4 linked regions of the Arabidopsis thaliana genome follow. The protein of the gene in region 4 interacts with the protein of the main gene of each other region in a pairwise test. Each region holds a gene or a part of one and is shown on either strand. Other genes may lie near its edges.

Region 1 (9,300 bases), on a different chromosome or scaffold from region 4:
TAGCAAGATCTCAAGGGTCTCAGTTAACTGAAGATGATGTCAAGAGTTACGTAAACAAACAGGTACGAATTCGCTTTCGGTTTTTCAATGCGAAACACACACAAGATGGAAAACTGTCTATGTCTTAAATCAATGGTGTGATGGTTTATATAGGTGGTTCACTACAAGCGGATTAAGATGGTGTTTTTCATAGAAGTTATACCAAAAGCAGTTTCGGGCAAGATTCTGAGGAAGGATCTGCGAGCTAAATTGGAAACCATGTGCTCTAAATAGACACAAGAGAGTTTCAAATGTATGTGTAAATTCGAACATTATAGTCTCTAAGAAGTAAGGAGTAAGAAGCAAGTATTTGGTATTTGATTTGGTTTTCACGAGATCAATCATGTAAAGTCAACAAATCTAGGAAACCTAAAGCTAAGCTACCCTCAGAAACATAAATTCATTTCCTATAATCATCATTTCACTATTTTCTTAAGAAGAATTATAAATTTAGAGAATTAAGGAACAGAAACATACCCACAAAAGCGACAATGAGAAGTGATTACGCTGGGTAGACTTATGTACTGGGACACACACTCAAAGTTATCCTCCTCTGCAAGCTGAATGCTTCAAGTATTCAGGTGAATCAATCAGCACAAACTTCAGCAAACCTGCAGAGAAAGACGTGGCCCAGCCGCCCAGCGGAAAGGTCTAATGTGGTTAGAAGTCAAGACCAATAGGACACTTGAGAGCTAGATTCCTAGCCATAAGGTAGACTTTTTTGAGTAGATGCTGAAGAACCTAGAATCTGACCTGGACAGTTGAGAGTTACATTCCTAATCACACTAAAACATCAAGGCAATTTGACGGATACTGAACACAAAACCATTGGGAGAGAGAGAGAGAGAGAGAGAGAGAGAACGAGAAGCAGAAACAAGGTGAATAGCTGATGTTTACATGCATGATGCATGCTCAAAGATGGAACCAAATGAAAGCTTTCTGAATTTGACCAATTGCAAGAGCATCACATGATTTCGTTCAAACAAAAGTTCCTAAACAAGCTTTCAACTTTTACCGCAATAATTAGACCATAACTGGCAAAGAAAAAATAACGCAGTAGGCACTAGGGTAGCCTTTGTAATGTTCACAAGACGGAAACTAGAAAACCATAAAGAGAATTAAAGGAAGAAGCTTTATTAATGAGAATTATCCAATGAAAGATCCTCCATTTACTTCCTTATATAAACAATAATATAAGCAAATCCAGCTAAAATCACTCTTAAACCATAAGAATTCTTCTTGTCTATTTTTTTGTTTCCATTTCTAGCAAAACATTCTTCATTACCCATAAGACAAATCAAGCTTAGCAGCATAAGATAAAGACTCAATAAACCCTAACCACAAACTGAGTTTCTTCCTGACGACTCATACCCCAATCACAAACCACATTGTTCTTCTACTCTTCTCATTATCTTTGCTTGGGGTATGCAAAACTTATGGAAAAATGTCAGGAAAAACTACGAAAAATTGAAAAACAAGAAAGACGAAAATGGTAGAAACACTAAGAGGCAGAAGGAAGAGGACGAGGCGGCGGCAACATTTGACGGAGATTAGGACCACCGGTAGCTTTAAGTATGAAAGGATGCTGCAAAAGCTGTTGAGCTGACCATCTCTTAGGAGGATCACTCTGTAAACAACAAGAAACAAAGTGACGAAACTCCTGAGACGCCGTAGCCGGAGCTTCAGGTGGCTGAGACATACAAATAGCACACATAAGACTAGCCCAATCACCTTGTCTACTCACAGCAAAAGGAAACCTCCCCAAGTAAAACTCCAAGATACTAACACCTAAACTCCAAACATCTCCAGCATAACCATCGTAACGACCATGATTCAAATCAGTATTAATCCTCTCAGGACTCATATAAGCAATAGTACCAACAGATGAATTACAAGGATCCATTGTTTGTGCCAAGATCCTACTCACACCAAAATCAGCAATTTTCACATTTTTAGCTGAGTTTATAAGAAGATTCGAAGGTTTGATATCACGATGAACGATATGACGACGATGAAGATAAGCTAATCCACTAAGAATCTGACGAGAGAGATCAGCTAATTCCTGTTCTTGCCATATATGAGCTCCTTCAAGAGATCCTTGATCCATAAACTCAAGCAAAACCTGGATCTCACCGTTATGATCAAACATATCGTGACATTTCACAACGTTTGGATGATCAACACTTCTTAAGATCTCGATCTCTCTACAGATCTGACGTCTCACGGTATCTTCGTGGTTTCCGTAAATCACTTTGAGAGCGAAAGGACGTGACGTCGGAGTGTGGATTACTTTGTAAACCGTTCCTCCGGCTCCGCTTCCGATTCGGTTCACTCGTTCTAGCTCGGATAAGCTTTTAGCGGCGGAGATGTTGGTTGAGATCGCGGAGGAAGACGCCGGAGCGGATGAAGAGGAAGAAGGAGGTGGGAGAGGGAGAGGTACGGCGAGAGCGACGTCGCGGTGTGGGAGTGGTAAGCTTAGGTCAGGACGTTTGCGTAAACGGTTCTTCATAGGTGAAGCTACTCCAGAAGGAGATTGAATCGGTTTCATGGCTTTTAGAAGAAGAGGGAATCAAAAGTTTTTTTTTTTTTTCACAAGGTTGATTCTTTATCTTCCAGGTTTGTATTTATCATCATGATTGACTTGACTCTAGGGTTTGTTTGATTCGTCGTTTTTCAAAGAGATCAAATCAAGAGGAGAATGAAGCTTCATCGAAGAGATTTGTGAAAATGATTGTAAGAAACAAGAAAAAAAAAAAAAGTTAAAATGGTAAGACGAAGGTACGCGTTGATGGAAAGAGCGTGGAATACACTCGCACTTGTGTGGCTCTGTGTTGTTACACGTTAACCATGTTTTTTGTTTGGTCGGGTCTGAATTGGATTATAATATCATTAAGAGTGTTTAAGATCGTGGATTTAGATACTATAAATTTGGTGTTAGGTATTTAATATTTTTAGAAAGTAAGAAAATACAGATTAAAGTTTCTTTCCAATAAAAACAATTGAAAAAAGAAAAACTTAAAGTAATTATAATTCTAAAAAAATTAAAAACTAATTTTCTTTTTAAAGTTTTTAACAGAAAAAGAAAGAAATAAAATTAAAGTGGTACAGTGTTCACGTGCGATGCATGTGACTTAAAAAATAAGTTTGCCTTCTTTGCCGTCAATTCTTCCGCAGAAGTTTTTTCGAACAATCAATCTCTGACTCTCTGAGTAATTAGGTTTTTTTTTTATCTCATGGCCGGCGCCGGAATCCACCCATACCACCAGCAGTGGCCGCCGGCAGGTGCGCCGCCTCCTCCAGCCGCAGTATCATCAGCTGCTCCACCACATCCGCCGCCCATTCATCACCATCCTCCTCCTCCTCCTGTTTTAGTTGACAACCATAATCGTCCTCCTTATGACGAGGTTCAACTCTTTCTCTTTCTCTCTATACATATCGGTGATTCTTGTGCTGTGTTGTCGAGATGGGCTTGCTTGATTTTTGTTTACGTTGAGGTTTTAATTTGCCTGCTTTTTGATATACAATGTTAGCTTGATTTTGCTACGGAATCGATAAATTGTCCAAAGTTATGACCTTTTTGATAAGAATGATTTTTAAGTTTGTTACTAAAATCTCACTTATGACCTGTTGCATAAGTGAGAAAGGTTCTCTTATCTTGTCATGTAGTTGGAGTTTTCTGATTTTGGGAAAACGTGATCTCTTACACAAGTTTGAATCTGTTGTTCAGCTGCGGACAATCTTCATCGCAGGGCTTCCCGATGATGTAAAAGAGAGAGAGCTTTTGAATCTCTTGAGATGGTTGCCTGGTTACGAGGCTTCTCAGGTGAACTTCAAGGGAGAAAAGCCCATGGGGTTTGCTCTTTTCTCCACAGCTCAGTTTGCAATGGCAGCCAAAGATACCCTTCAGGTCTGTCTGCTTCTGATCATTGTTGACTCAGATCCTTTTTTGTCTTCACATTATGACATATGTTGTTCTTGGCATGCAGCATATGGTGTTTGATGCTGAGTCAAAGTCTGTGATACATACAGAGATGGCCAAGAAGAATCTTTTTGTTAAAAGAGGTTAGCTCTACCTTTATGACATAAAATGGCTGTATTTTATCTATCTTAAGCATTAGTCATGTTACTGAAGCATGTTTGATACAGTTTTGTGCATTTATACGGGGTCTCACTACACTCTCCCCTTTATCTAGTTTCTTACTTCCTTTGTTAATATCACAAACCATATATAACCTTTGAACTCAATCTTTATTCTGTAGGTATTGTTGGGGATTCAAATGCTTATGATCAAAGTAAGCGCCTACGAACTGGTGGTGACTGCACACACTCTGTGTATAGTCCATCTCCTTTCCATCCTCCACCTCCTCCTGTGTGGGGACCTCCTCATGGGTTAGGCATTTGCTTCTCCTTCATATTTCATATGCTGTGTAGAAATTGGACGATGTGTATTTGGTACACCGTTTTATGTTAAGTTGCTTATTTGACAAGAAGATAAATTGGTTCAGATATATGGCACCTGCACCTCCACCATATGATCCCTATGCAGGTTATCATGCTCCCCCTGTACCAATGCCTACGCCCCCACCTATAGCAGCTCCTAGTTCTTATGTGCCTGTCCAGGTGAAGTTGCACTGTTTTCATCATTTTATTTATCATATGGTGGTTGTGCAATTATATACCCGGAATCCATATTGTACTTGCCTCTCCTTGCCTAAAAATTACAATCTCGAACTTCATTCTAATTAGCTTACATGCTATACTCTCTGGTGGTTGTGTTGTGGAACAATAGTTGTTGCCTAATTTAAATGCATTGTCTACTGCTCTGAATTTGCTAAAGTTTCTGATTGTTTGATAAATTTTGTACCTAGTTTGATGAATATCTAGCCTAGGTTTGGTGATCTGATATATGTCTCATGTTGTTTTCAAATTTTTTTCAATTGCAGAATATTAAGGATAATCCACCTTGCAATACCCTATTTATTGGTAATCTTGGGGAGAATATAAACGAAGAAGAATTGAGGAGCCTGTTGAGTGCGTGAGTATCTGTTCCCTTTAGTGAGACTCCTGTCCATTGCTTTCCTTGAGATCTTGGCCTTTTTGTAGACCTGTGTTCTCAAGAATTCTGCGGTAAACTGTACTTTCATTTTGCAGGCAACCTGGTTTCAAACAAATGAAGATTCTGAGACAAGAAAGGCATACAGTTTGCTTTATTGAATTCGAGGTTAACTCTGAGACCTTCACCATCTGTGTATATGTGACAGAAAATATTCTTCTAGCATATTGTTAAATTCTTCTATCTGGACTTGCAGGATGTCAATAGTGCCACAAATGTTCACCATAATTTGCAAGGTGCTGTCATTCCAAGTTCTGGTTCAATTGGCATGAGGATCCAATATCCTTATATACTTTTACTCTTTCTGATTATTTAATATTCCAGTATGCCAAGTTCTTTTTTCTTTTCTGTTTGATTCTTCTTAACCCAATGATACATATTCAAAGAATCCATATGGGAAGAGAAAGGAAGGTGGCGGCTATTCTTTCTTTCCTTCTCCGAGTGCTAATGGAGCCCAAGGAGCCCTGACATATCAGTAGGCCTTGAAGGGGGACGTACTCTCTTCCTTATCTCCCAACAACTGCACGAATACGATGCATCTTCCAGGCAGTCTGCATTTCATCCATTTCCATTCTCGACATTTTTAAGCATCAGCATTGCTTTGTCATGTGTTGGGTGCATATAGTGTGACCTCATCAACATATAACATGTTTCAGTTTCTATTAGCTCTGCTACATGCATTCGCAGTGTGGTTTTTGATGATTGTTTGAATTATATAGGAGTTTGGTTTGCTATTTGTTTATCTTATTGCGGCTTTAATACATCACTTTGTGGGATTCATTTTCATCATTCTGATCGATTCATCCTAATGAAACGTTAGCTAGGAAAAAACATAACATTACATTAGATCATAACATGATAACATCCGGAGGCCTTCCATCAACTTCGTTTCACTGCATGGACACGGAATGTTGCTCTCATGATTGATTCATCCTAACGAAACTCCATTTGCTATGTTAGCTGATATACCATTACATTAGATCATAACATGATAACATCCAGAGGGGTTTGATCAACTTCGTTTCACTGCATAGACATGGAATATTACTCTCATGATCTATCACATCGGTTTCATTCTTCAGCATTTCCCATGTCGATCATTCTCTGTTCTTACTTAGGCTGATGAACAAGCACATCCGTTTTGTCAGAAGTTGACAGCTGATATAACATTTGAAGATAGGCATTCCATTACATTGTAGGTTTATTATAGTTGAGCAAACATATATACATTCCCAGCTCTGGCTTGGCCTTATGCAGGGACAATCCGTAAAGAGAAAGCCCAAGCTCTCGAATAGAGATGCGTTTCACCTACAAAGTTGAGGTAAGGTCATCTTCGGACGTCCAGGAACAGAGCCAGGAGTTCCTAAGAGCCTATCTTTTTACAATGGAGTCTACTTATCCAATCCAACTTATCTCTTTTCTAACTGATGTTTCTGTACGGCTTTGGGCTACTTGACTCTGGATGTGAAAACCAGAAGCGAATTTAGTGATTCTTCAAATGAGAAAGTTTCTCTTCCATTTTCAAGAACAATGTGTGTATAATTGGTCGCTTACTTATCAGATTTTGAGGTATAGGATCTCTAGGGCCTAGTTTCATGTTTTGTTTCTCTGAATTCGAACCATGGTAAATTTGCTGTAAAGAGAGGTAGGTAATATAATTAACCCAAGAGACAACCCAAGAAGAATCGATAAAGGAGTGTCTCAACTCTCAAGTAAGAAACATGTTTTCATTATTATGATTGGCGAGTCTCAAGCTTTCATCACTGTAGACAACAAAGAAAAAGATTTGTTGCACAAAAGGGTTTGTGCATTCCTTAGACCAACTTTCCAGAGAAGCAAAACATCTAAAACCACAAAACCATGGTCTTAAAAGAAAATTCTTAAACGTCAGGTGTGTCTGAGCGCAGAACTGTCAAGAAAAACAAGATAAAGAGTTGGGAGGTTAATAAAAAGAAGAAAAAAAATATAAAACGGAACTGAGAGGTAAAAGATTGAAACCCCTCTTCAAGTTGTTCAAGTAAAGATCATCAAGCAAAAGGTAGAGATGTCGATCAAATTGGTGGAACAAACGCACGGAGAGGGAGGAGAATCGTGAGTAACGTGCCTGGTTTCTGAGGCTTTCCATCGGACCATTTTGGAGAGGGAGAAGTGAACCTTGTCGCGATTGATTGTTTCAGCTTTGAATGGTTCTTTGAGACGGATATACGCCGTCCCCATACTCGTTCTCAGCCCATTTTAGGCCTTTCTGAATTAGGCCCAAATACGTTTACGTGTTTTTAGAGGAAAACTTTCAACGTGCATGTCAAAGACAAATTGTTTGTTTATTTTCTCATCAAGCAAGACAGAGACTACTATTTTGCTTTTTTTAAAAGAAAACGATGTAGCATTTTCCTTGTCGAGAAGCTAAGGAAACCTGACAAAAATGCAAGGGATAACAAACGCATTAACCAAAGTATAATTTTTTACAAGCAAAGAAACATTTGCACAAAACCCATAAATATAAACCTCATTATCCCATAATTAGCAATGCTGCATAACACATAATTTAAAAACCCTAAGAAAAAAATCGGAAGTTTGTGGAAGCAAGAAGAAGAAATGATGAATCCAGAATCCGATCATCCTTCATCTCCTCGTCAACGTAAGATTGGAATCGCCGTGGAGCTCTCTGAAGAAAGTGCCTTCACTGTTCGTTGGGCTGTTGATAACTACATCCGTCAGGGAGACGACATCATTATTCTACACGTCTCTCCAACCGCCGGTCTCTTTGGAGCCGATTGGGGATATTACCCTCTCCAAACTCAACCTCCTTACACCACCGCTTCTATTTTCTCCAAAGTAGCGGATCTCGGGAAGCCATTGAAGGAAGCTGGATTCCCTCACACGATTCATACAGTCAAAGATTACGATAAGAGAGAGAGGCTTTGTCTTGAGACTCAACGGCTCAATCTCACTGCTCTGATTATGGGATTTGGTGATGGCTCTGTTAGTGATTTCTGTGTTCACCACTGTGTTTGTCAAGTCGTTGTGGTTAGATACCCTGATGGTCCTGGCAGTGTTGAAGGTACTCGGGCAGCGCCTATTGTAACTTTCAAATCACGTACGGATGATGACGAAGAGATAGATAAGGCTAAGACTGCTCTGACTGCTTCTGTTCATCATCAACACATCAAAGGTTTCTTTCCTTGTGGTTTTCATATTTACTTGCAAAGCACTCTATCTATCCATCATAAAAAATTTCATGTCCTCCTTTTTTTTTTTTTTTTTCCGTCTTAGCCATGGATTCGGTGTCAAAGCAGCCTCTTCTCTTTTGCCCTCGTGCATATTTTACTAACAATGAAGAAGATTTTCGCGCGATGCAATTCCGAGAGCCACCAAATCTTTCATCTCCATCTTTTCACCTCACCTCCTTAGTTTTGGGCAACGACTTTAACATAACACGCAAATACTACTACGACAGACATGGCAAGGGCTTCATTAAAGGCCATAGACCTAACAAACAATGTGAAATATGCTCCAAGTCATTACTCGGTACCACGTTTTATTCCTGCACGTTATGTCTCCGTCCTTCATGTTCCCCTCTTCAATCTTCAGTATTATCACGCTCTTCAGGCTACTACCACGAAGCCTGTATCGAGCCGATATCAAAGCACCCATATCATCCTAAACATGCTCTCCGATTTCGTTATGAATCAGGTCAGATATGCTTATCTTGTTCAACTTTTAAGGATTTTGCTTACCATTGCTCTATATGCAATTTTACCATGTGTCAAGATTGTGCTAGAGAGCCACCACTCTTTGCAATAGACTATCCAAAAAGGCATGAGCATACACTCTTCTACTTTCAAAGGAAAGGCTCCTTGATTTGTGACGTTTGTGGGTTGAGTGATGGCAGGTCTTTGCTGTATTCCTGTGTCAAGTGTAATTTTGTAGTCCATAAAGAGTGTGTCTATTTTCCATGCATCATAAAAATATCACGTCATGAACATCGTCTCTCCTTCAATTCTTCACTTACTCCTGAACAATGGTTATGTGGAGTGTGTCGTGAAAGCATAGACACAAATTTTGCAAGATATTCTTGCGTAAAGGGTTGCAGTTTCGCGGTTCATTCTAAATGTGCAACGCGAAAAGATGTATGGGACGGAAAAGAA
Region 2 (7,139 bases), on a different chromosome or scaffold from region 4:
CCTACCAGCAGGAACCAAAGGAGAATAATGACTTACCGTCAAGAAGCTTTGGCACTTTATTGTCCAGGGGAGATAATAGTGAGTCACATTAACTTAACTTGGAAACCACTGAAATGTTTTGGTAAGCTATCTTACATGAAAATGTTTTCTGTAGATGCAAGAAGGCAGGCGTTAGGAAGTTCTAACCCACAAGCCAAAAAGCTAAAGCCAAATCAGTAAGTAGTTTGATTGGTTCTATATTTCTCGTTGTTTTCATTATCTGCATTTTCTATCAACTCATACCTTTAAATTATTCTGCAACTCACTATGGTAAGCAACTTTGTCTTTTGCAGATCATCCAAGACACCTTTTGCTATCTACGCAGATGCAGTTTCAGACACCACATCAGGGAATCAACCAGAGTCAGACAAGTCAAGACCAGAGTTTGGTAGTTGGCTCATGCTTGGAGGCAGAGCAGAGAGGAACAAAGAAAACAATTCTTTACCTAGAAAATGGGCATCATTCAAGGTTTTCCCTCTACCCTCCTAAACAAAACTATCTCACTTGGCTCATACTATCTCTATAAATTGATCACTAACTGCATTTATATTTATTGTCACAGGTTCCTCAGAAACCCATTGTGAGAACTGTTGCAGCAGCATCTGCTTCCACCTTTGAGGTTTTTGTCGATGAAGAAGAATGTACAGAGTAAGTTTGACTAATTTTTCAGAAGTTTTCTGAACAAAACATGTTTCCACCATTAACATGATTCTGAAATGCAGAGAGGAAGAAGAAAAGAAGAAGAATGATGAAACTATCTCATCATCATCAAACGTTCTGCCCCTTAATGGCGGCCGTGAGATAAAAAAGTAAGCAAAAAAATTCCCCTAAAGATTCATTCACCAAACAAATATTATATCATGACTTGGTAGAGATCTAACAATGGTTACTTAAAAAAATGCAGAGAAACAGAGCTGCTACGACAGAACCCTTTAAGACATTTCCCACCCAACAGCTTCCTACGATGATGATATTGGACTTTCTTCTCTACACGATCTTATGGTTTGAGATTTGAGCTTTTGTCTATAAAGCTCCTTGTGTGTTTTTGCCTATTTGGATTTGTTTTTGTGATGTACTGGGATATACTATCCTACTATGTACCATGATGTGCCTTTCATGTTTTGAAATTAATGTGACTTGTCTTGTTTCAATCCTTATATGATTTGTTTCTCCTAAAGTAATCATTCTACAAAAAAAAACTTTATATCAATTTCCACTAATTAACCTAGATTACCACTTATGATTAAACTTAAGGAATCATTTTAATAATGCCCTAAATGTGGCCAAGTCATTGGTTTATATGGCAAGTGACTTTGTGATCCCAATAATTTTTTGGTCTAGTCGTCTAGGCAACTAGCGTACCTTTGTTTTAGAAAAATTCTAGAGTTTCATTGTAAATCAATGGATACGTATGGATGGGTACAAACTAGAAAAGATAATCAATCCATTGGGCATTTCTTCCATAGAAAATAAAGTGGCTTTAAACGGATGGGAGGGGGCATAAAACATAATCAAGCATTAATAGCCATTTAAATTAATGATTAAAAACGAATGATGCGATTTTGGAGATAGACTTTGAGTGGTAAACAAGGGCAAATGAAAAAAAAAACTTGGGAATTTTATTTGGTGTTAGTGGTAGGGGCATCATTTCATTTCACAATCTACCCTTTAGGGGTTTTAAGGGTTCCCTTTAATGCAAAGTATTGCATTAAGTACGTAGCTAAACATTTATACGACTGAGTCAAGATTTCTAATAAAACAAAAAACAAATTCTATGCGTAAGATGAAATTCTATATTCAAACAGAAATGGTATTTACGGTATCGATGTCTCTTGGTTTTTATTTTATTGGCTTTAGTTTCATGTCCTCTTACTAGCAAGCTTGAACAAAACATTGGCATTGGTTCTCTTTCTCCATCTCAAAGAACATTATGGTTTAATCTTGATTTGATTTATACATGTTTACCCTTAGTCATGTGTGTTTCATAAATCATATCTCCATTTTGGATTTGATCTATTTCATAGAAAACTTTGCTCTATAGTTCTAGAGCTCTAGAGTTTCTCTTTCTACTTGTCAAAAATCATAAACCTTAACATGTAGTAGTGATATCTCTGTTTTTCTTTTCTTCTTACAAACCTTAAACAACAAACTTTTTTTTATCATGATTTTTTTTCTTATTTTTAAACCCTCAAAAGTGAATATATTGATATATCTATCTCTACTCGTCAGCAAGCTTTCCTCATGCTTCTCTCGTCATTCATTTGCTTTTTCATAATGATGTTGTCTTATTGTCTACATTGTTTTAAGGAACGGTTAGCTACGATTTGTTTATACATTTAAGTAGGCTCAGAATTATGCCAACAAAAGATAGTTTCAGAGTTTATTGCAACAAAAAATAGTTTACAAAAAGGGTCCCAAAACCCATTTAATCATTTAAATGATTTAGGGTACTGTTACTAATTATGATATGTGACTGTTGAAAACTTCTACAATGTTTATAGCATTTTTTGTAATGGAACTCCCAAAAACCCTGAGGGCTCTTAAAGATCACTAGGTTATTAAAGCAGAGACTCACTAATATTGTCATTATCTTAAGCTGACAAAAACGTAGAAAAATCCAAAAAAATAAATGGCGGAGGAAATTGACCAAAACGCATATATAAGGATTATGGAGTAAAAGCAACTTATGGTAGTTGGAGAGAAATTAACCAATAGAAATACTCAAAGGGCGCGTTTATTGCCATAATCTACGCCCCCTCCATATTTACACACAACCATATCATAATATTACCAAATATGAAAATTATATGTGCATTATCTTTATTACATAAACAATAAATACAGTTTATTATTAATATAAGAAAAAGATAATTTTTGATTTTATTTTTAGAGTGATCTTGGCCGTAGAAAATGAGGTGATGAAAGTGATGTGTCAAAAAAATCAGGAAATAGCCATATCAAGCATGTAATCCCTAATTACGGTCTAAAGGAATTAAAGATTACGGTCTACTTAAATTCAACATATCTACATGAACCTTATGAAAGGCTTAAGGGACGAAATTAAAATAAAATGATAACACAAGGGTCAATTTTATCTACAGTCACCAAATTAAAAATCAGATTAAGATACATTAAAAAGTCATTATCTCACAAAATAAATCTTTTCTTTGCTCTTTCATTTGTAGCTCCTCTCTCTCTCCGGCGCTAACGGGATGTCCTCACCATAACGCCGTTAAGTCTGGAACCCGTTTGAACGGAATTATCAAAACGGGAAGGAATATTCCGTTTGAATGGCTCTGGAACAGTTAGGATTAGGAGTGAGCGCCGTTGACGGTGGAGAGAACAGTAGCGCGCCGTCAAATGACGGTGGAGATGACGGCGTTAAGACGGCGAGACTTCCTCGTTGGACGAGACAAGAGATTCTGGTTCTGATTCAAGGGAAGAGAGTGGCGGAGAACAGAGTCCGGCGAGGGAGAGCGGCGGGTATGGCTCTCGGGTCGGGTCAAATGGAGCCTAAATGGGCTTCTGTTTCGTCTTACTGTAAACGTCACGGTGTAAATCGTGGGCCGGTTCAGTGCCGGAAAAGATGGAGCAATCTCGCCGGAGATTATAAGAAGATTAAAGAATGGGAGTCTCAGATTAAGGAAGAGACTGAGTCCTATTGGGTTATGAGGAATGATGTTCGTAGAGAGAAGAAGCTTCCTGGTTTTTTCGATAAGGAGGTTTATGATATTGTTGACGGTGGTGTGATTCCTCCGGCGGTTCCGGTTCTTTCGCTTGGATTGGCTCCGGCGTCAGACGAGGGATTGTTGTCTGATTTAGATCGGAGAGAAAGTCCTGAGAAGTTGAATTCTACTCCGGTGGCTAAATCAGTTACTGGTAAAATTCAGATCAAAGTTTAAGTTTTTATTTTGTATGTTCATCAGAATGATTCCATTTCTTATGAAGTTCAATTTTTTTGATGAAGATGTTATAGACAAAGAGAAGCAAGAAGCTTGTGTAGCAGATCAAGGTTTGTTTATCTCTCTGTGTGTATTTGCTTGATCTATTGCTCTATATGCTAATCTCAAACTAGTTTTAGAGCTCTAGAGTGTGTTTCTCTTGAGTCTTGACTATGTAGTTATGTTGTCATGTAGATAAATGATGTTTTCGTATTCTAAAATGCATCTCAAATTGTGTTATAAAAGTAGTTTAACAATCTTCCCTATGGTGTGTGATCTTTTCGTTTATGTTGAAGGGTCTCTATGTTCTTGTTTTTATACTAAAATGTTGAGTTTGAACTTGAAGGTAGAGTGAAAGAGAAACAGCCAGAAGCAGCAAACGTGGAAGGTGGATCGACATCACAAGAAGAGAGGAAGCGTAAACGGACATCTTTTGGTGAAAAGGAAGAGGAAGAAGAAGAAGGAGAAACAAAGAAGATGCAGAATCAGTTGATAGAGATACTAGAAAGAAACGGGCAGTTGTTGGCGGCACAGCTTGAGGTTCAGAATTTAAACTTAAAACTAGACAGAGAGCAAAGAAAAGATCACGGTGATAGCTTAGTCGCTGTTCTCAATAAGCTCGCTGATGCTGTGGCAAAAATCGCGGATAAGATGTAGATTTAGTAAAAGTTAGTTGTATATCACTTTGGCCATTACTTCTCATTCTTCTTCTTCCTTTTTTTTCAATCATTTATCACCATTGTTGATTGAATATTGATGCCACCACAAGAGGTTATTATACACATCTTATATAAACATTGAGATTTATACGGGTTTAGGATATCATTTGCCTTAGTGTTACCTTTTGACTGATTTGAACATCTTGATGTGTTGATGATTTGTTGCATAGCATGAAATTGAGTTTTCATCTTTCTTGCTTCCCCTAACAACAGGATTAATAACATAATATTAAATGGTATACGTAGTCATATGACCCTTGAACATATACAAATAGTTACTCAATTGGTTAGAAAATGACTTTGGTATATGCAGATTGAAGATCTGCCACTTTATGTTGTTTGGTAATCTGATAGCTACTTTGAAAACAATTTCTGTATTTTAACTTCTTCTTTTATAATCTATAGAAATTAAATTGAAACCGTATCTAACTCGAACCAATTTTTTTGTCTGGATTGTAGTGCAACATGAACTATATTTAACATATTATCGTGAGCTTGAATTTGAAACCAAAAGTTGTACTAATACCAAAACTCAGTGATGCAAAATATCAAATAAGTTCCCATATTACTTTGGATTATCTTTCACAAAATAGTTGTTATGCACATAATTCCAGTCCAAATTTGTTTTTTTCGTCAGTTATAATAAAAAGACAAGCAACAGTTTCATAAAAGCCGCACGACATATTTGACCACTGAAATTTATGTACGAACTTCGACTTCCATAGAGGTAAGTTAACTGACAAACTTTTCGAGTCAAAAACTTTGGATCATCAGACACAAAACTAGTAAAGAAAATTCACAGAGATGTCTACTTTCGTCATTTAAAATACCCCTCATCTGGCGCCAATCACACGTCGCGCTGACATAATTTACCTCGTTCGGATCGCTGACGTGTACGGTCTAGATTAAACTCCTTCTCTCAACTAGATTCTCCTTCTTCTTCTCTCTCTCTCCCTTCGTCTATATTTCACATTCTCTTCAAGTTTCGGCCTTCGGAGAAAATAATAAGCATCTCAAAATTTGGATCTGGAGAAGAAAATTTGAAAACTCTCTTGTTCTCTCAAAGGTGGTGGTAGATCTCGAATTGGGAATTTTCGAAATTGTGAATCTTTGAAAAAAAAAGAGTTAAATTGACAAAACATTTCCTTAACTTGAATCTCTGTTTTTTGAATCGTTTAAATTAGAGAAGAACCCTAATTTTTTCTGTTTTGGAGATCTCTTCTCTGGACCGGGGACTAAAGTGGGCGATTTTCGAATTCAAGGTTTTTGTTTCTGAATCGGGTTTGGATTCGTTTTTGAGCAAAGTTTTGAGATTTTTACATGCTTGTAGCTCGATCTGGTTGTTCTAGAACCCTAATTCGAATGGGCAACGATGAAAACTTGATGGTAATGGTGGATGTTGAGGAAGGTGAGATTCCTGATTCTGTCAACACTGAGATTGAAGTTAAGCACAAGAGTACTACTACTACGGCCGATGTTGGCGGAGACGTCGATGTTGGGGTTGTGGCTGGAGGAAGAGGAGGAGGTGGTGGTGGTTCTAATGGCAACTCTAGGGTTTGGACAATGGAGGAGTTGATTTCTCAGTATCCTGCTTACCGTCCATATGCGAATTCGGGTTTATCTAATTTAGCTTGGGCTCGAGCTGTGCAGAACAAACCTTTTAATGAAGGTTTGGTAATGGATTATGAACCAAGAGAGAGTGATAAGATTGTGATTGAAGATAGTGATGATGAGAAAGAAGAAGGTGAGTTGGAGGAAGGTGAAATTGATTTGGTCGACAATGCTTCTGATGACAATTTGGTTGAGAAGGATACTGAATCTGTTGTGTTGATAAGTGCTGATAAAGTTGAAGATGATCGAATTCTAAAGGAGAGAGATTTGGAGAAGAAAGTGAAACTAATTCGTGGTGTTTTGGAGAGTACTTCGTTGGTAGAAGCACAGACGTAAGACTATCCTGAGAATGGAGAGATCAGATGATGATGATGAAAAAAATTAAAACATCTGTCAGAGTTTGATGAGTGAAGTTTGATTTTTTTTTCTTTTCATGTTTTGTTCTGTTTCGTTTCAGCGGATTTGAAGGAGTTTGTTCCAGAATATTGGGGGCGTTAGAGTCTTTGCGAGAGCTGGTTTCAGATAATGATGATTTTCCGAAGAGGGATACTTTAGTTCAATTGTCATTTGCTTCTCTTCAAACCATTAACTATGTATGTGCCACTCAAGATCCCTTCCCTCAATCTTCTGTTACGTTTACGGTTTTATGTAACTAATCTATTATCTTTCAGGTGTTTTGCTCGATGAACAATATTTCCAAGGAGCGTAATAAGGAGACTATGTCAAGGTTGTTGTGAATCTGTGTTTTTACTGTGCCAGCCTTTGATTAAAGATGCTTCTTGGAGTCCTTTGATTGCTCACATTATTTTTGGTTTTTCTTGTGCAGATT
Region 3 (8,882 bases), 660 kb from region 4:
GCGACATTCTTGCCTTCCGTTGAGCTTCTAATCAATGTTAGTCTCCTCTTGAAATAACCTAATAATTCGAAGAGCAAGCAAATAACGGAATGTTGATGTTAGTCTCAGAACGATCTTCAAAGAAGAAGAATGGTCTAAAAGAATGGAAATTGGGTATTTCTATACCAGGTGTTTCCATGGTGAGGTTAGTCCAATCAGTTGATATTTTCTTCATTTCTGACGCCTTGATTAACTCGAGCAGAGCTTTATTAACCTGAAATTGATTGACCAGAAGGTATGTTATTCGAGGTTCTGAGAATACCAACATGAGTAAGGAAAATGTGATCCCTCTTCCACATTGTAGCAATGTTGTTCCTTAAAGACTTCAAAGCCTGTAAGTCTTTATAGTTTTCTTCTATCATAAGTAAAAATGAGATATAAGTAACGGTATAATCGCTTACAATGTTCGATCAGTTGCTACAGCAGTCAAGTGTTTTTCCAAATAGGTTTGCCTTTAAAACGTTTCTCCATATACGATTAAATCAGTTCATCATATTCATAGTCAACTTATTCTTATTTTCAGAATAGTCTGATTCTCTTTCGGTCTTATATTGTTCCTGTTAAGTTACAGTAATCTGAGTATGACATTCATTAACATTTACTGCAGGTTGGATGAGATTAAAGAGCGACAAAGACTTTAGTTATTAAGTCTTACATTCATCAGACGCAAGAGAGACAGAGAAGTTAAGACCTAGCTAAATAAGACAGAAGTACCTCTTCTGTTCTCTCGTGGCTTACAAGATGACCTCCATGAAGATCCACCATTCTAGCGACTGGATATAGCCTCTGTGCCAGTCTTCTTGCGTAACATATCTGAGCAATCACATCATGTCTGCATATAACCCAACACATTCTCACATTAACTACTGTGTAAAGGTAAAGATGCTTTACAAGATCAACAAACTCAAGACTGAGTGCACAAGGTGACTTTGATTCTAATTTCTTTGGTGTTCCGTACCTTCCATGAATGACTGAGACAAGAAATCCAGCCGAGCGGATTAGTTCAATCTCTACTTTTGTGATTTTGTGTAACCAACAAGCGTTAATTTGGCCATCAAACCCGTACTTGGACTGCATTCCAGTTTCTGATATTCCTTTTACATATTGCTGTATTGCATCACTCAAATATAAGTCACCTTAAATCGTTCACTAGTGATATGCTTATATGTCATTTTCTTCGCATAATAACCAGTAAACCCACCTGATATAAAATTGCCCGTCTTGTATTAGTTCCTACAGATTCTTCTAGGTAATCCTGCATATATAAACAGCATGAGAACATAATCACTCACAAGTTTCATCTGGACAGTAATACGCCAGCCTTAGATTTTGTTACCAAATTACTCTACTACCATAATTCTTCAAGACCAATGAGTTGATCTCTCAAGTCTCAACCAATTCTAAAGAACATAAATCTTCAAGACCAATGACTTGATTTCTCTACCAACTTTGTTATAACCGAATAGAGAAAACAGCACCAAACTTTGCAATATAGAACGAAAGTTTCAAATGAAACACAGATTCAACAAATGCATGCCATATTTCAAACTCCAGTCGTTGCTCTATTAACTATAGTTCTAAGCCAATTTTGTTCTTAGTATTTCAGTACATCGAAGAGCAAACTGAAAGTCCCCACCTTTGAATAATGTGTGTCCAAATCAACAGCTGCCCTTTGTTCAGGGGTCTTTGCTTTCAGAAAACGTATCGCAATGGAAAGCGATTTCCGGTCAAGCTGAAGCACATAAAAACAACAGTGCATGGTACTCAGAATTTTGTATCCAAGTGAAACATCACCTTGTGACAAATCATGACAAATAAGAAAACAATAGTTTGTCTTCATGATAAGAAACCAACCGATATACACGTATGAACAAGTCATTGCTACCAAAGAAAGAAGATTCAACAACAACGCCACGTATATCATTCAAGTACCTTAGGGAAGCATTCAAAACCTCCACCTGTAACATTAAGCAACGCCAAAGAAAGAACCCGTTCAGGCGCCATTGCAGCTAACTTGCAAGCTATCATTGCTCCTGTTAATCAAAAAGCCAAGAGAGACTAAATAATTTGGCTCAGAAAAACAATCAATAGTCACTTGAGTGATCAAACATATTACCCATAGAATGACCAATTATGTGAGCTTTCTTCCAACCCAAATGATCCAACAAACTAATTGAATCATTTGCCATTATCGTTGTTCTGTACCAAAACAAAACCCAAATTGAGTGAAGAAGCTAACAAAACCAATTTCACAGGAAATTGTTAAAACCGAGATTAAGAACACAAAGCAGAGAATTTTAAGTTCTTCAGTAATGAAATTGGCTCACGTGTACTCAGATTTGTGGGTAGGCACAGAGCTTCGACCCATACCACGATTATCGAAAGCGCAAACCTCGATGCCGGAATCATCGGAAACAATTCCTCCGTCGTCGTCATCATCGTCGTTGGGTTTATCCGTTCCCGTCAATCCCATGATTTGAGGACCCCATGACTCATGGGTTCCGGCTAAACCTGAACAAAATTAGAAAAACCCAATTGAAATCAAGCTCGGAATTGCTAAGGAAACTAATCAAATGGGAAAGATGGAGATTACAACAGACCTATGATGAGAAGAGCTTTGATAGGACCATGACCGTACGTTCTGTAGAAGATTTTGATTGCGGCATTGTTAAGCGTCGTCTCTGGGCCGACATCTTCTTTCACGACCTCGCAAAACGGCATCGCTTTTTTTGTTCTCAAACTCTGATATCTGGGTGGGATCAGATTTTGAATAACCGGAGAGGAGAAGAGGAGAAGAAAGGAAAGGACTTTTCTATCGGAAGAGAGAGAGATTGGGTCTGTGGTGTGGTTCGGTTCGGTTTTTTGGGTGGAGGTTAGGACTGCCACGTAGGATTGGTCGGCTGGATTTTATTGGCGGGTAATATCTAACAAAGGTCAACGGTCAAATTTTTTACACGAGAAAACTATGTTGTATAGAAATATAGCACGTGAAAAACGCTAGAAGTAGAAGTAGTACTACGTCAATGGAATTCATATGCATCATATATAAGAGAAGCGATAATGGGTCTGAACACAAGTGGAGCATTAACCTAAAACAATAGCAACTTAGACCATTTGTTGAAGTAGTCACTACACTATTTTAATCTCCGGTTCAATTTGTTGAACTTTATAATGTTTTGCTATTTTGATCCGCGTTGCTTTATATTATATTGGTGTGGTTTCAGGAGAAGACAGATCGAGACACAAAACAAGGCAAGATCGTTACTGACATTTTATGCTGGACACTAGATAATTGTTCACCAGGACATGTGATAATAAAACCTCCATGACTTCGTGGCTGCTTTTTCATTATATATAGTTTAGGTCACCATCTTGTCGTAGCACAACCTGAAAACGCAATACCTTCTCCTGAAACGGAAAATATTTGTTGGGAAGACCTATCATTTGGAAAGTACTTATGCCCGTCAAGGCTCACAATTTAGACGAAACGATCCACCAACAACTTAAGCTTTGAGTCTTTGACCATAAGTGCGAGACGATTTTCTTGTATTGTTAATTTGTTATTGCTTGTTTTTGTGAACTGATCCTTAGTTTTTTTTTTCATCAAAAGTGATCATTTAGTTAAAGACTTAAAGTGCAATGAGAGTTTGGTTTCTTTATTTTTAAACTCTTGAAAAATTAATTTTGTCAATGAAGCAATACAAATTAAATTGCTGAAAAGGGATAGTAAATCGTTTTTTGTCCTTACGGATTGGTGATGAAAATGGTATTCAACGGATGCAATACTTAGATGCACCAAATGATTTTTACCATATGCTAAACTTTAACACTAAACCAATTATACTTTACCTGGTAAATATTAAAAGGATTTTTTGTTTTCCAAAAACAGTTTTAGTATATGTACTTAATTACATAATACCGCGGTTAATAAATAGTTAAAAATTAAATTAGAAAAAAACACATACGTGTCTACAGTTTTAGTCTCGTACATAACACGAAAAATCATCTAATTGGTTACGTATTAATCATATCATTTTTACCTATTAGAAAAAAATTATTTATACATTTTTAGTATCTACTAATACGTTACGTGAGCACAAAAATTCATCTTCATCAGTGCTAATAACTATGCGAAAATCTGATGACGATTCATTTGTCTAACAATTTATTTAGCTTAATACGAGTTTTTAAAGATGAAGCATACCCAAATTTCCCAAGAGACCAAAACGACAACGTTTGGGAGTAGCTAATATCGTAGTTAGCGCACGCCACTAACATCACCCATTGCACGGTCTCTCTCTACTCTCAAACTTCAAAAAGCTTTGGCTTTTTAGATTCACAGGAAAGAACCCTCAAAACACACAAAAAGCTGGTGATTTTTGCATTGCACCGATTCGCCTCCATCGATTTTGGACATTCTTGAATTCTCCCTCCAAGTATTCCTGTGAAATTGACCGGAAAGTTCCTTCCTTTTTCAATTTCCGGTAAAAAGGAAAGTAATTGGGTACTGTAGACTTCCTTCTAGGGCTTGTGAACTTTCTAATCCTTCAGAAAACCCTCGAATTCGAAAAATTTGCTGCGAGATTGATAAATGACTAGTTAAAGATTTGAACTTTGATTTCTGGGTTTGCGATTTTATTCAAATGGAGAGATCTAGATCCAAGAGAAACTACCACTATGACCAAGACTATGACGGAGATTCCATGCCTAGGTCTAAACCTCGCTACAACAATAATTACCACTTTGGTGGTGGCGGCGGAGGAAATAACAGATACCGTGGCGGCGGCGGTGGTGGAGGTGGAAATGGCCGGCCATCGAAGTCTCATCCTGAAACGATGGCAACAACGACTTATCGAATCCTCTGTCACGACGCTAAAGCAGGAGGTGTTATTGGTAAATCCGGGACAATTATCAAATCTATAAGGCAACACACCGGCGCGTGGATTAACGTGCACGAGCTAGTTCCTGGAGATGCAGAGCGTATCATTGAGATTTCTGATAATCGTAGGCGTGACCCTGATGGGAGAATGCCGTCTTTCTCTCCTGCTCAAGAGGCTTTGTTTAGTGTTCATGACAGGATTTTGGAGAGTGAAGCTCAGTTTGGTTATGGTGGACCTCCGCCGGAAGAGGAGGAGGATTACGGTGGAGTTAGACCTGGTGGAGGGAGAGTTGTGACTAGATTAGTGGTTTCTAGGATGCATGTTGGTTGTTTGTTGGGTAAAGGTGGGAAGATTATTGAGCAGATGAGGATTGAAACTAAGACTCATATTCGGATTCTTCCAAGAGAAAGTAACTTACCTCGTTGTGTTTCACTCTCTGAAGAGATTGTTCAGGTCTGAAAAATTGCTATTTTGAGAACATATTTGAAATGGTGAATCTTGTTGAGATTTTGATATGAAATGTAGTCAGTTTATTGAAATGCTAGATAATTTAAATGTGTGATTGTGAGGTTGAGGTTGTTGACAAGAGTTGAATCACTCTTATGTAGTTAGCTTGGTCATTATTTGTTATGTTTAAGCTTTCTTTGGTGTTTTCTACCTATGGGAAATGCATTTATAATGTTGGTTCTTTCAGATTGTAGGTGAACTAAATGCAGTGAAAAACGCTTTAGCCATTGTATCATCTCGTCTAAGGGAGAGTCAGCATCGTGATCGGAGTAATTTCCAAGGGCGTTCACATTCACCAGAACGGTCGTTTGCAGCTGCGGGGGATGATTACATGCCACAGCTAAGAAGACAATCATCCGATAGGTTTCCTCGTGGTAATTTTAGAAATAACAACTTCAGTTCTCGCCAGTCCAACTATGCAGAAGAAGCTCCAGCAGTTCCAGTTGGTGAGAATGTCTACTCCGAAGAGCTTGTGTTCCAGATTCTCTGCCCAGCTGACAAGATTGTTCGGGTTGTTGGGGAATCGCAAGGAATAATTGATTTGCTTCAGAACGAGATCGGCGTGGACGTTAGAGTATCTGACCCAGTTGCTGGATCTGATGAACAGATAATCACCATTTCTTCGGAAGAGGTACTCTAAATACCCTCAGATCTTCTTCAATATTATCTGTTACATTTACAATTGTGAACTTGAAGTTTTGTATTCTTACTTTGCTTAGGCACCTGATGATCCATTTTTCCCTGCTCAAGAAGCCTTGTTGCACATTCAAACTCAGATCATAGATCTTATTCCGGATAAAGATAATTTAATAACAACAAGATTACTTGTCCCATCTAGAGACTCTATATGTTTGGAAGGGAAAGCAGGATCAGTATCTGAGATATCACGATTAACTGGAACAAGCGTACAAATTCTAGCTAGGGAAGAAATTCCCCGATGTGCTTCTATCAATGATGTTGTTATACAGGTATGTTTGTCTATTTTTGAGGAGTCGAGCATTTTCTAAACAACTTCTGGTCTCAAAAGAGAATTCTTATGTGAATGTCGATGTAGATTACTGGCGAGATCAGAGCTGCTCGGGAAGCACTTGTTGAATTAACATTACTATTGAGGAGTCATATGTTCAAGGAGCTCTCTCAAAAGGAGACACCACCAGCTTCCACATCCACAACTGGCCCTCTCGAAGGTGTTGCAGGAGTAATGGAGGTAGCTTCATCAAATAACACAATTCAATCTCGTGAAGGTCCTACTAGTTCGAATCTGAACTTGCAGCAAGTTAGCACAATCTTGCCACAGTTTAAGGTTTTTGTTCTCATCAACAATCTTTTCAATATAAAGGCATCTGTAATCAGTTAGGGTCAGACTTATTTTTGCCATCGAAACAATGTAATATTACTATCAGGCTATGCATAATTACCTGAATACTTGGAAAGTAGTCTATGGTTCTTGTCCATTCGTGCAATGTCCCTATATTTACATATATTTTTCTCTTGGTTTTTATAGGAAGGTTTCGGATCAGTTGCAAAGGCGGGTGAAAGTGAACACCGGGAAGAGGTTCCTGTCACGACAAGCAGGTAGAGAAACTCCCAAATTTGATATATTTTCCCAAAACCGTACAAGTGCTTGTTTCACACCTTTCCTTCCTGCTTTTTGTTTTTTTCTCTAGAATGGCGGTACCACTTGTTACTAGAAGCACTCTTGAAGTTGTCTTACCAGAGGCGGTTGTTCCTAAGCTCGTTACGAAATCAAGAAACAAGCTTGCACAAATCAGTGAGGTAGAACTCTTTTTAACTGGAACTAGATTGGTGCAAATCATGACTCTAATCAAAATCTTTGACGCTTTGTCTTATCTCTTTCCCACTTGATCACAGTGGTCTGGAGCTAGTGTAACCATAGTTGAAGACAGACCAGAAGAAACACAGAATATCATTCGAATTTCGGGTACACCCGAGCAAGCAGAGAGAGCTCAGAGTTTGCTTCAAGGCTTCATTTTGAGCAGTAAGTTTCTCTCTTTCCAAACTTTTATATCCGTATTGTACTGATCTATAAGTCTGATTTCCGTTCCTTGTTTGGTGCAGTACAAGAGGATGGACCGTGAACTTGGACCAGATCATCAGTCAACACAGAGATGAAGATCAAGAAACTGAGAAATGTGGAGTTATGTATGACTTGTTGAATATTAGGATTTCAGTAAGCAGTAGTTTAGATGAACATTCCACATTTTGACCATCACTCTTTGGTTTCTATGTTGTCTATTAGTCTTCTTTGTTTACATTGTTCTGTAACTTATTTAAAAAAGTCATTAAAGTTTAATCCGAATGACTAATCATTAAAGACTCATCTTTAATTCACACCACCCCTATGTATATTGGAAGAACTTAAACGCTGCGTTTCACTTGAGTTAACATCATTGAGATTGGGGTGTTTTTGCCCTAGATAAAGTTTAGGGTGAAAACATAGATAAATCTTAAGTCGTATTTTACAAAAATAGCCACTGCTAAAACCTCACCTGCGGCTTCACCTTTCTTCGAGTTCGTGAAAAAGAGACGTCGCATCGCACCGCCGTCGCCATTTCCACCGTCGTAGCATTGCCGCTTCACTGGTGATTGATTCTTCCTTAACTTCTCTTTTTGTTTTCTCTGTTCTCTTATATCCGTCGTTTTCTAGGGTTTTCTCACTCCTTGTTGTGGAATCTCTCTTTGTAGACTGTCGCACTGAATATTGTTGAATCGAGAAAATGGCTTATGTTGGGCAAAGTAGAAACGTGATTCGGCATGTAGTCTCGAGAGGAACAGCTTATCACAAGTATGAAAATGCGATTCATCATCCTCTCCTTTTCGCTTGTCAAGGAGTTCGATACAGAAAATTAGAAGTTATTCTTACAACGGTGAGGTTTAATGATTCTGAAAGGCATGATTTTTATCGTTTGATTTTGAAATTTCCTTCACATTTCGTTGGGTTGAATTGAAATCAGATGGTGGGTTTGTTTTGATTTGTCTTGATCTTTATCTGATCTGGTTTTGTTAGGGCATTGAGAAGCTTGGCAAAGCTGGTGAGACTGTGAAGGTAGCTCCTGGATACTTCAGGAATCACCTTATGCCAAAACTTCTTGCTGTGCCTAACATTGACAAGTATGCTTATCTCATCCGAGAGCAACGCAAGGTACTAGGCTCTTAATTTTGCAAAATAGATTTAGTCTGATATTAGGTCGTACAATGCTAGTGGTTTTCTCCTCTTGTTGTTGTGGTATCTAGGTTGTGATCTTGATGATGTTTAGTTCTTGATGTTAAGGGTAAAACAGATACTTTTGACATAATGTGATAGTGATATGGTATTGAAACTATTTTGGTTTAGTGTTAGTGGCTTCTCCTTTAATTTGATTTCGTGATGGGAATGTCTTCAGATGTAAAGGGAACTGCAGATAGTTTTGACTTTCCCTGATAATCATTATGGTA
Region 4 (6,883 bases):
TATAATGTGGTGTAGTGGTTGATTCCCACGTAATCAAATGCCCCTTTTATGGTTTTATACATCTCTGGTGTTATCTTAGGTAGTCTCTCTTCCACTAGACTCTTCATTGAAGCTGGATAGTCTCCATTGATTAGAGGATCCATAAACCTATTTTTTAAATCTCATTCTGTTACTTTGGTCTTTTCTCTCTGTAGACTTTTCTATGCAAATTTTCAGATAAAGGGATCTTATATTTACCATCCAAGCCCAAAATCCATTGCTCTACGAGCTGCATCTTTGTCCTCATCACAATCAGACATTGGCTCATACCATTTTGCATCTAATGATATCCCGATTTGACCACGTTGTTTCTCCTTGCATATAGAAAATTTCCCACATTTTATTCTGCACTTAGAATCATAAGATTGTTCTGTTTTGTTTTCTTACCTTAAAGTTTCTTTGGTAGGTATGGTAAGCAGCAGCATGAGACAACAGAATGTTATGAGCTACAATATACGGTTCGACCGATGACTTCCCCTTCTTACAGAACCAATGTCCCAGAAGTGAGCACCTTCCTGGAGCTTGTATCCCTGTGTCATAGCCTTGGATCGATACCCCATGAGGCTCATTGAAAGTGATCCAGTACTTCACTCTATCTCCAAATGCTTTGAAACAGGTGAATGCATAATGCTCAAAATCATCCCTGCACCATTTATTTAGCTTTTTAATTTCGTAATAATCTCACCATATCAGGATTTCACATTTTTATCAAAATATCATATACTCACACCACTTCTCTGCTTAGCCATCCTTCATATCTGTCTTCTAAGGCTTGTGGGAGATCCCAGTGATACAATGTCACATAAGGTTTGATTCCTTTGGCTAAAAGAGCATCTATTAGGCTGTTATAGTACTTAACTCCATCTGGGTTTACTTCCCCTGTTCCATCTGTTAAAACCAGAGTTTAAATAGACCCGTCGAAACGCACAACATTACTCATCATATCACAGCTGAATGAAATAGACTTACTAGGGAATATTCTTGACCAAGATATAGAGAATCTGTAAGCATCCATTCTCAGATCTTTCATCAGGTCTATGTCATTCTGTGATAGCAACAAAACAAAAGAAAGGCTCTTGCTTCTTAGATTCTCTCATTTGTGTCCTGTTGCGTCTTATCTTAGATTTGTTTGGATGAGGTTGCTCTGTCAAGAAGCAACCCTACTTTTATCTTCAAGCTTAAGTCAACAAATTTGTAATTGTTAGGTAAAACTTACGTGAAACCTATGATATTGATCAACCGTAGTATCCGCATTGCTGAAATCCAGTATCTTTCCTGTTGATCAAGAACGATACCATTGAGTTAACTAAAACCTTCGTGATGTTTTCTGGGTTTGTTTCTTTGATACCTGGTTTCTCCTTCGTGAAAGTGTCCCATATGCTTTCTCCTTTGTTTCCTTCTTTCACAGCTCCTTCGAACTGATTTCTTGCAAGAAAATGTTGCGATTGTCAAAATCTTCGTTCTTTCTTTGTTGGATCAGTTTGGAGAAGATGAAGAAGAAGAAGAATGTCACCTGGTAAGCTGAAGAAGCTGTTCCGAATACAAATCCATCTGGAAAATTTGCTCTGCTGATAGATTCTGAAGAAACGTGATCAAGAGGTACGAAGAAGACGACGAAGAACGGAAACAGAACTAAGACGAGTCTCATTAAAGATTCCATTTTTTGGGTCGCATGAATAGAGAAAGTGAGAGAAAGAGAGAGATAAGGGGATGGAATTTTATGGTGAATGAAAGATTTGGAGGCAAGAAAATGGAGTTTTGGTGTGTGTGTGTTTTTAATTTGTAAAGTTGAAGAAGAAAGAGGAAGAGTGCAAAACAAAAGCTCACGTCTTTTGAAGGCTTTTCTTTGGTTTTGACATTTGTTCTCTCTACTTTTACTGCACACGTTTCTTATACTTGTGCCAAAAACTTTTTAAAGTTGTTTACTCTCTTAAGATAAAAAAAAAGTTTGTTACTGAGTGACACTGATTCACCTAACTACCTATGTCTTTTTTTTAAAGATATTCTTCTTGATAGTCTTGTTATTTGTAACCCCAAATTACATGATAATCAAATTAAATTCATAGATTGAATAATATATTATGTACTTTATTTTGAGATGAGTTAATAAATTAATATATAAATATAATGTGAACTTTTATGTTAGCATCCATATCCATTTATATATGTTATTTTTTGTGTGTTTACACTTATCACAAAAAAAAAGGGGTGTATTGAACTTAGGTAAGATTTTGTGGATTTTAGATTTTGAGAGATTTTAAAAGACGTCTGGTCATTTGGTGGATTTTTAGAAGAATCAAAACAAATTTTAAGTGGCCATTAAAAAAATAAAATGGTCATTTAGTGAAATTTTATGTCAAATTTCATAAAATATTGAAGTATTTTGTGTGATAGTCCAAAAAACAATTTGGTAACCATTTAAAGACTCATAAACGTTTCTACGTGCCAATGAAAAAAAATCGAAAATTGGAGCTGCACATTGGCGAATTCCATTAATTACGAATATCAGAATTGTAAAGTTTCTATCACTAGTCCATCCATTCCGAAATTTTGAAGTAATACAAGGGTATATCCGTCATTTTATGTCAGTATTTTTTTTTTTTAGGTCATCTTCTCACTCTAGTAAATTACTCGTTTTCGTATCAATCGATTTTGTTTGTTCTCTGCTTTTTTGGTTTAGGGTTTTAGCTTTTCAAAGTTAAAACCTTTTTTTCCCGAAGAAGAATCAATACGACTCAAATCAATCAATTGAATCTATGGCGATGGCTATGAGACTTCCAGCGATATCTAGAGCTGTGACGGAAGTAGCTTCAGCTCCGGTTGGTTTGAGACGACTGTTCTGTTCAAATGCTTCAAGGTTCTCTTTTTTGTCTCCACAAGCTGAATCCCAAACACCGGCTCGTCCTCAGGCTGAACCTAGCACCAATCTCTTCGTCTCCGGTAACAAACCCTTTTCATCTCTCAATTCATTTCGAGGGTTTATCGTTGTTAGAGTCTATGTCTGTTTCTATTTGATGCTTTTTAAAGATCCTTCCTTTTTGAATTCAGATTTAGATTATCAGGTTCGTCTAACATCAACTAAGATTGTACTCTATGTGTTTAAGAATTTGATAAGTTCAATTATTCATTTTTGGTTCTGATTTCCAGAAAAATGTCTACTTTCGATTGCTTAACTCTAGGAATGAACTGTAAGAGTTAAAGAGAGTTTCTTTGCACTCAATTACTTGAGAATTCGGTTTTTTCGGTTAAAATTTGGATGCTATGTGTACCGGATCAGTGTCTTGTTTCAAGGGTCTATGTGGGCTGTTTCTAACATCTTCAAGGCTTCTGTTTTTGTAAAGTGCTTCCTAGTATCAATTAGTTTTTGAAATACTGCTCAACATTGGGCTTTGATGCAAGCAATTTTGATTAGGCTATTACTTATTGTTCCTTCATAGCCTCTGTTTCTCACTTTTATCACATGGCCATTGAACATCTCATACATACATCTAAGGAATTTTATGTGTTCGATGCTGTGTCTCAGTTTCGTGAAAGTGTCTTCTTCTCATGTTATCTTTATCTTTGTGTCACTGAATATTTCAGGGCTTAGTAAGCGCACCACTTCTGAAGGACTAAGGACTGCTTTTGCTCAGTTTGGAGAAGTTGCTGATGGTGCGTATCTTATAACGACACTATAAAGTTTATGCGCAGTAAACTAGTCATCGTGAAGAAAACTAACTGTTATGATTCCTTTCTCTTCTATTGGTTTTGTAGCTAAGGTTGTCACAGACAGAGTATCAGGATATTCCAAAGGGTTTGGATTTGTTAGATATGCCACTTTAGAAGATTCTGCCAAAGGCATAGCTGGAATGGACGGGAAGGTACTATTCATTCTAATATCCATTTCTCGATTACCATATCATAATCTATTAAGAGAGATTTACACTGACAATTACCAAACGGCTAATCTCCTCTCTGTGCTTCTCTGCAGTTTCTTGACGGTTGGGTCATATTCGCAGAGTATGCAAGACCGAGAGAGCAATCACAGTCATATCAACCTCAGAACAACATGTCTCGTCCTCCATACTATGGTAACCGCTAGAGAAACAGTTTTCTTCGGTTCTTATGAATCTTTTATATTCATATTTATGCTTCATTCTATCCTCTTCTATGATCGAACTGTGTTGTGCTTCGTCTCGTGTTATTACCTTTAGAAGATTAAAAACTTCAAATTATATTTTGAAGGAATAATCAGAAACTGTCATTTACAAAACCAAAGTATTAAGTGTAATAGTTTTTTAAGAGGAAGAGGATTTTGCTTACATGGTTAACTCGGAAATACTTAAAACGTCATCGTTTTGTTGTTTGTGATTTAATTGATTGGACCGGTATGTAATGAGATTGATCGGGTTCTGAGAAATTCAGATCCGGTTTTAGTGTTGTTGATTTTTGGTCGACTTTAAAATCTTTCAGTATATATGCTTCGAGTTTTGTTTTGCTACGATTTCATTTTGTGAACCAAAATTTTTTAGGCACCACCAATCTAGATGATCATTTTCAAAAACCCAATGGGTCCGTAGCCATTAGCCAATCAATAACTCACAATTTTCGTTTAGATGCAACTACTTAACATTAAAAGTGATGATTATAACAAATGGGAATAAGTCATTGGGCCACAGCATTGAGTTCTCACAATTTCACGTGGAGCTGTCTAGAATCTCTACGAACATTTTTGTATACTACAACATGTGGACCGAACAAAAACAAAAAGAAATATCATCCCAAATACTAATGGCTTACATAAATTTATGCACTAAATGTTATAAAGACAAAAAAGGAAACAAAACATACAAAGAGATACCGTTCATACAATAACATTCCTTCGCTGTCCAATTACGTTTGGTGAGACAATTCCCTCTTTCTCATGCAACCAGATTTGTATTTCACAACTCATCATATTACTCCAAAATCATAACGGTACCCATTTTTGGAGTGTTCTTAGCTTATAATGGTAATAGTGATAGGTTTTGTTGTTTTGATTGTGATCTATAATCCTTAGACGCAATGAAAAGTTAGTTGTAATTACAAATGTCGACCGCAACGTGTACAAATGTTTCTTGTTTCCAAGTTTGTGGAGTGGGCACAAGTCAAACTTAACTGCATAAACTAATCAAATGGTAATGTTTCTAATCGGATAACGTTTCTGATTAAGTTCTTTTCGATGGACGATTCTTGTTATTTCTCATTCGATTCGATCGTGTGGGTTAGGTTTATAGATTCAAATCAATCAATCTTCCATCAATATATTTTATGATGACCCATGACACCTAGCAAGTAGCAACATAACAAACTGATTAATATCATTACTAATATATAAACTATAAACTATAAAGTCGTGGTATTAATGAGAAAATGAGGGCATGAATATTTTTATTGTTTTAAATTAGTAAAAACAAAATTTAACAAGATGACTCAGTGGCGGACCTACGTTACAACTAGGTGGAGCACGTGCCCCATATTAAATCTACTAAATATTATATAAGTTGTTATTTTTCATTATATTACAGTTAGCTCAAATGGTTTTTCGGCAAGCAATGCCTTATACTAACCCAAGTTCGAATCTCCAAACCGTCACTTTTGTAAGAATATTTTATAATCTACATACAATTTAGGTAATTAAATTATAATTAATACTATTTATATAAATGATGCCCCACATAAAATTACCTTCTAGATCCGCTCCTGAGATGACTCATCGTCGTTTTTGTTGCGCCGCATGAGTGATTACTTTCAAATGTGAAAGCATTTTAGATGAGTCGTTCTCTACGGTTGAATTATGGTTTTAAAATGAAGCTGTTTAATTACACGTTTCATGAATTAAGTTTGGACCGTTTCATTTTTTATATCGTTAGGAGATATGAGCCTGATCTGATCTATATTTAATATAGTTCTTATCTACATGAGTTTCTATTATAGTTCTTCCTACATTCATTTATTATAAGGTTTTCTCATTGCCACGTATAATATAAGCACATGCAGATATAAGTAACATCATATCATTTTACGTACTTAGAAAATAAAAACAATATGGAAGTTAGTCCCAAAAGGAAAAAATGATAGTGATATTGATTTTAGATAGTAATATTATAACTATGTCTATATAGTTCACTCAATATCCGATTCATTAAGATTGATAAGCCACCATGTAACAAAAGGATAAATTGGGTTATTTGTCTATACGCTAAACCGATCCAAACCAAATTAGAGAGAATAGACAGATAACCCAATTTTTCTTTTCCAAATCCAAATCTGAAGAAAAATAAAGATTTAATTTTTTTATTATACATGTATTTGACCATCTAATGATGTAAAGCAGATGAATCAAAGTGAAAAACATGAACGACCATCATAATTTCATAGGTGACAAAACTTATTCATTTATGAGCCACACAAAAAAAAAGAAGAAGTAGAAATATATGTCGTCGACAAATATTAATAAGTGGTCCAAGAAAATAGGGTTATCAATAAAAACATTTTGTATACGAAGAATACAAGTTCCAGTTACGGAAACAAAAGTGATTCACGTCGACATAATGTCATATGATTCTGCGTCAAAAACGATCGTTTAATTGTCTCTTTATCTGTTTATCGCAACTTTTTAATCATTTCATTATGAATCCTTTTGCATTTCGTTGCTTGCTCCCGTATAACCAATCGGATTCTTTATATGATTTATTAAAAATAATTGCATTTGGAAACTAATATAATCACCAAAACAATCAATAACCAATCCTTGTCTGGTCCTATTTTAAACCGGAGTTGGTTATTGACTGTTTCTAGGTAAACTAACTCCGGTTTAAAATAA

Evidence for each region.
Region 1: the proteins of AT5G54580 (region 4) and AT3G21215 interact in a two-hybrid assay, tested with the Arabidopsis thaliana proteins (one large-scale study listed by BioGRID).
Region 2: the proteins of AT5G54580 (region 4) and AT2G33550 interact in a two-hybrid assay, tested with the Arabidopsis thaliana proteins (one large-scale study listed by BioGRID).
Region 3: the proteins of AT5G54580 (region 4) and RCF3 interact in a two-hybrid assay, tested with the Arabidopsis thaliana proteins (one large-scale study listed by BioGRID).

Annotation. Positions count from the first base shown.
Region 1 is NC_003074.8:7,439,204-7,448,503, reverse strand, and holds AT3G21215 (RNA-binding (RRM/RBD/RNP motifs) family protein), read left to right. Parts: upstream 1-3,191; 5' UTR 3,192-3,272; coding exon 3,273-3,443; intron 3,444-3,766; coding exon 3,767-3,946; intron 3,947-4,025; coding exon 4,026-4,101; intron 4,102-4,298; coding exon 4,299-4,428; intron 4,429-4,544; coding exon 4,545-4,659; intron 4,660-4,982; coding exon 4,983-5,074; intron 5,075-5,190; coding exon 5,191-5,260; intron 5,261-5,348; coding exon 5,349-5,431; coding exon of another isoform or gene 5,432-5,468; exon of another isoform or gene 5,469-5,528; coding exon 5,529-5,631; 3' UTR 5,632-7,053; downstream 7,054-9,300. Other genes in the region: 4CL5 (4-coumarate:CoA ligase 5), read left to right, coding at 1-62, 154-273; MKK5 (MAP kinase kinase 5), read right to left, coding at 1,541-2,587; AT3G21210 (zinc ion binding protein), read left to right, coding at 7,748-8,324, 8,426-9,300.
Region 2 is NC_003071.7:14,207,678-14,214,816, reverse strand, and holds AT2G33550 (Homeodomain-like superfamily protein), read left to right. Parts: upstream 1-3,123; 5' UTR 3,124-3,329; coding exon 3,330-3,918; intron 3,919-4,006; coding exon 4,007-4,051; intron 4,052-4,326; coding exon 4,327-4,637; 3' UTR 4,638-4,835; downstream 4,836-7,139. Other genes in the region: BUBR1 (BUB1-related (BUB1: budding uninhibited by benzymidazol 1)), read left to right, coding at 9-78, 155-215, 333-507, 602-687, 762-848, 944-1,007; CPL3 (C-terminal domain phosphatase-like 3), read left to right, coding at 6,020-6,642, 6,768-6,903, 6,982-7,037, 7,137-7,139. UniProt on the Arabidopsis thaliana protein: Transcriptional repressor that binds DNA and plays a negative role in regulating microbe-associated molecular patterns-(MAMPs, e.g. flg22, elf18, chitin, and LPS) triggered immunity (PTI) by negatively regulating immune gene expression.
Region 3 is NC_003076.8:21,510,673-21,519,554, forward strand, and holds RCF3 (RNA-binding KH domain-containing protein), read left to right. Parts: upstream 1-4,223; 5' UTR 4,224-4,682; coding exon 4,683-5,372; intron 5,373-5,613; coding exon 5,614-6,057; intron 6,058-6,145; coding exon 6,146-6,394; intron 6,395-6,480; coding exon 6,481-6,729; intron 6,730-6,930; coding exon 6,931-7,001; coding exon of another isoform or gene 7,002-7,005; exon of another isoform or gene 7,006-7,033; intron 7,034-7,093; coding exon 7,094-7,202; intron 7,203-7,298; coding exon 7,299-7,425; intron 7,426-7,505; coding exon 7,506-7,525; 3' UTR 7,526-7,875; downstream 7,876-8,882. Other genes in the region: AT5G53050 (alpha/beta-Hydrolases superfamily protein), read right to left, coding at 1-58, 166-253, 754-1,146, 1,241-1,294, 1,676-1,771, 1,972-2,072, 2,156-2,238, 2,367-2,550 and 1 more; AT5G53070 (Ribosomal protein L9/RNase H1), read left to right, coding at 8,165-8,314, 8,455-8,589. UniProt on the Arabidopsis thaliana protein: Acts as a negative regulator of osmotic stress-induced gene expression. Involved in the regulation of thermotolerance responses under heat stress. Functions as an upstream regulator of heat stress transcription factor (HSF) genes.
Region 4 is NC_003076.8:22,168,537-22,175,419, forward strand, and holds AT5G54580 (RNA-binding (RRM/RBD/RNP motifs) family protein), read left to right. Parts: upstream 1-2,629; 5' UTR 2,630-2,795; coding exon 2,796-2,979; intron 2,980-3,621; coding exon 3,622-3,690; intron 3,691-3,792; coding exon 3,793-3,899; intron 3,900-4,009; coding exon 4,010-4,120; 3' UTR 4,121-4,483; downstream 4,484-6,883. Other genes in the region: BGLU41 (beta glucosidase 41), read right to left, coding at 1-147, 238-353, 427-682, 768-927, 1,009-1,084, 1,256-1,314, 1,388-1,457, 1,553-1,699. UniProt on the Arabidopsis thaliana protein: Involved in C-to-U editing of mitochondrial RNA. Functions as minor mitochondrial editing factor. Controls 6 percent of the mitochondrial editing sites.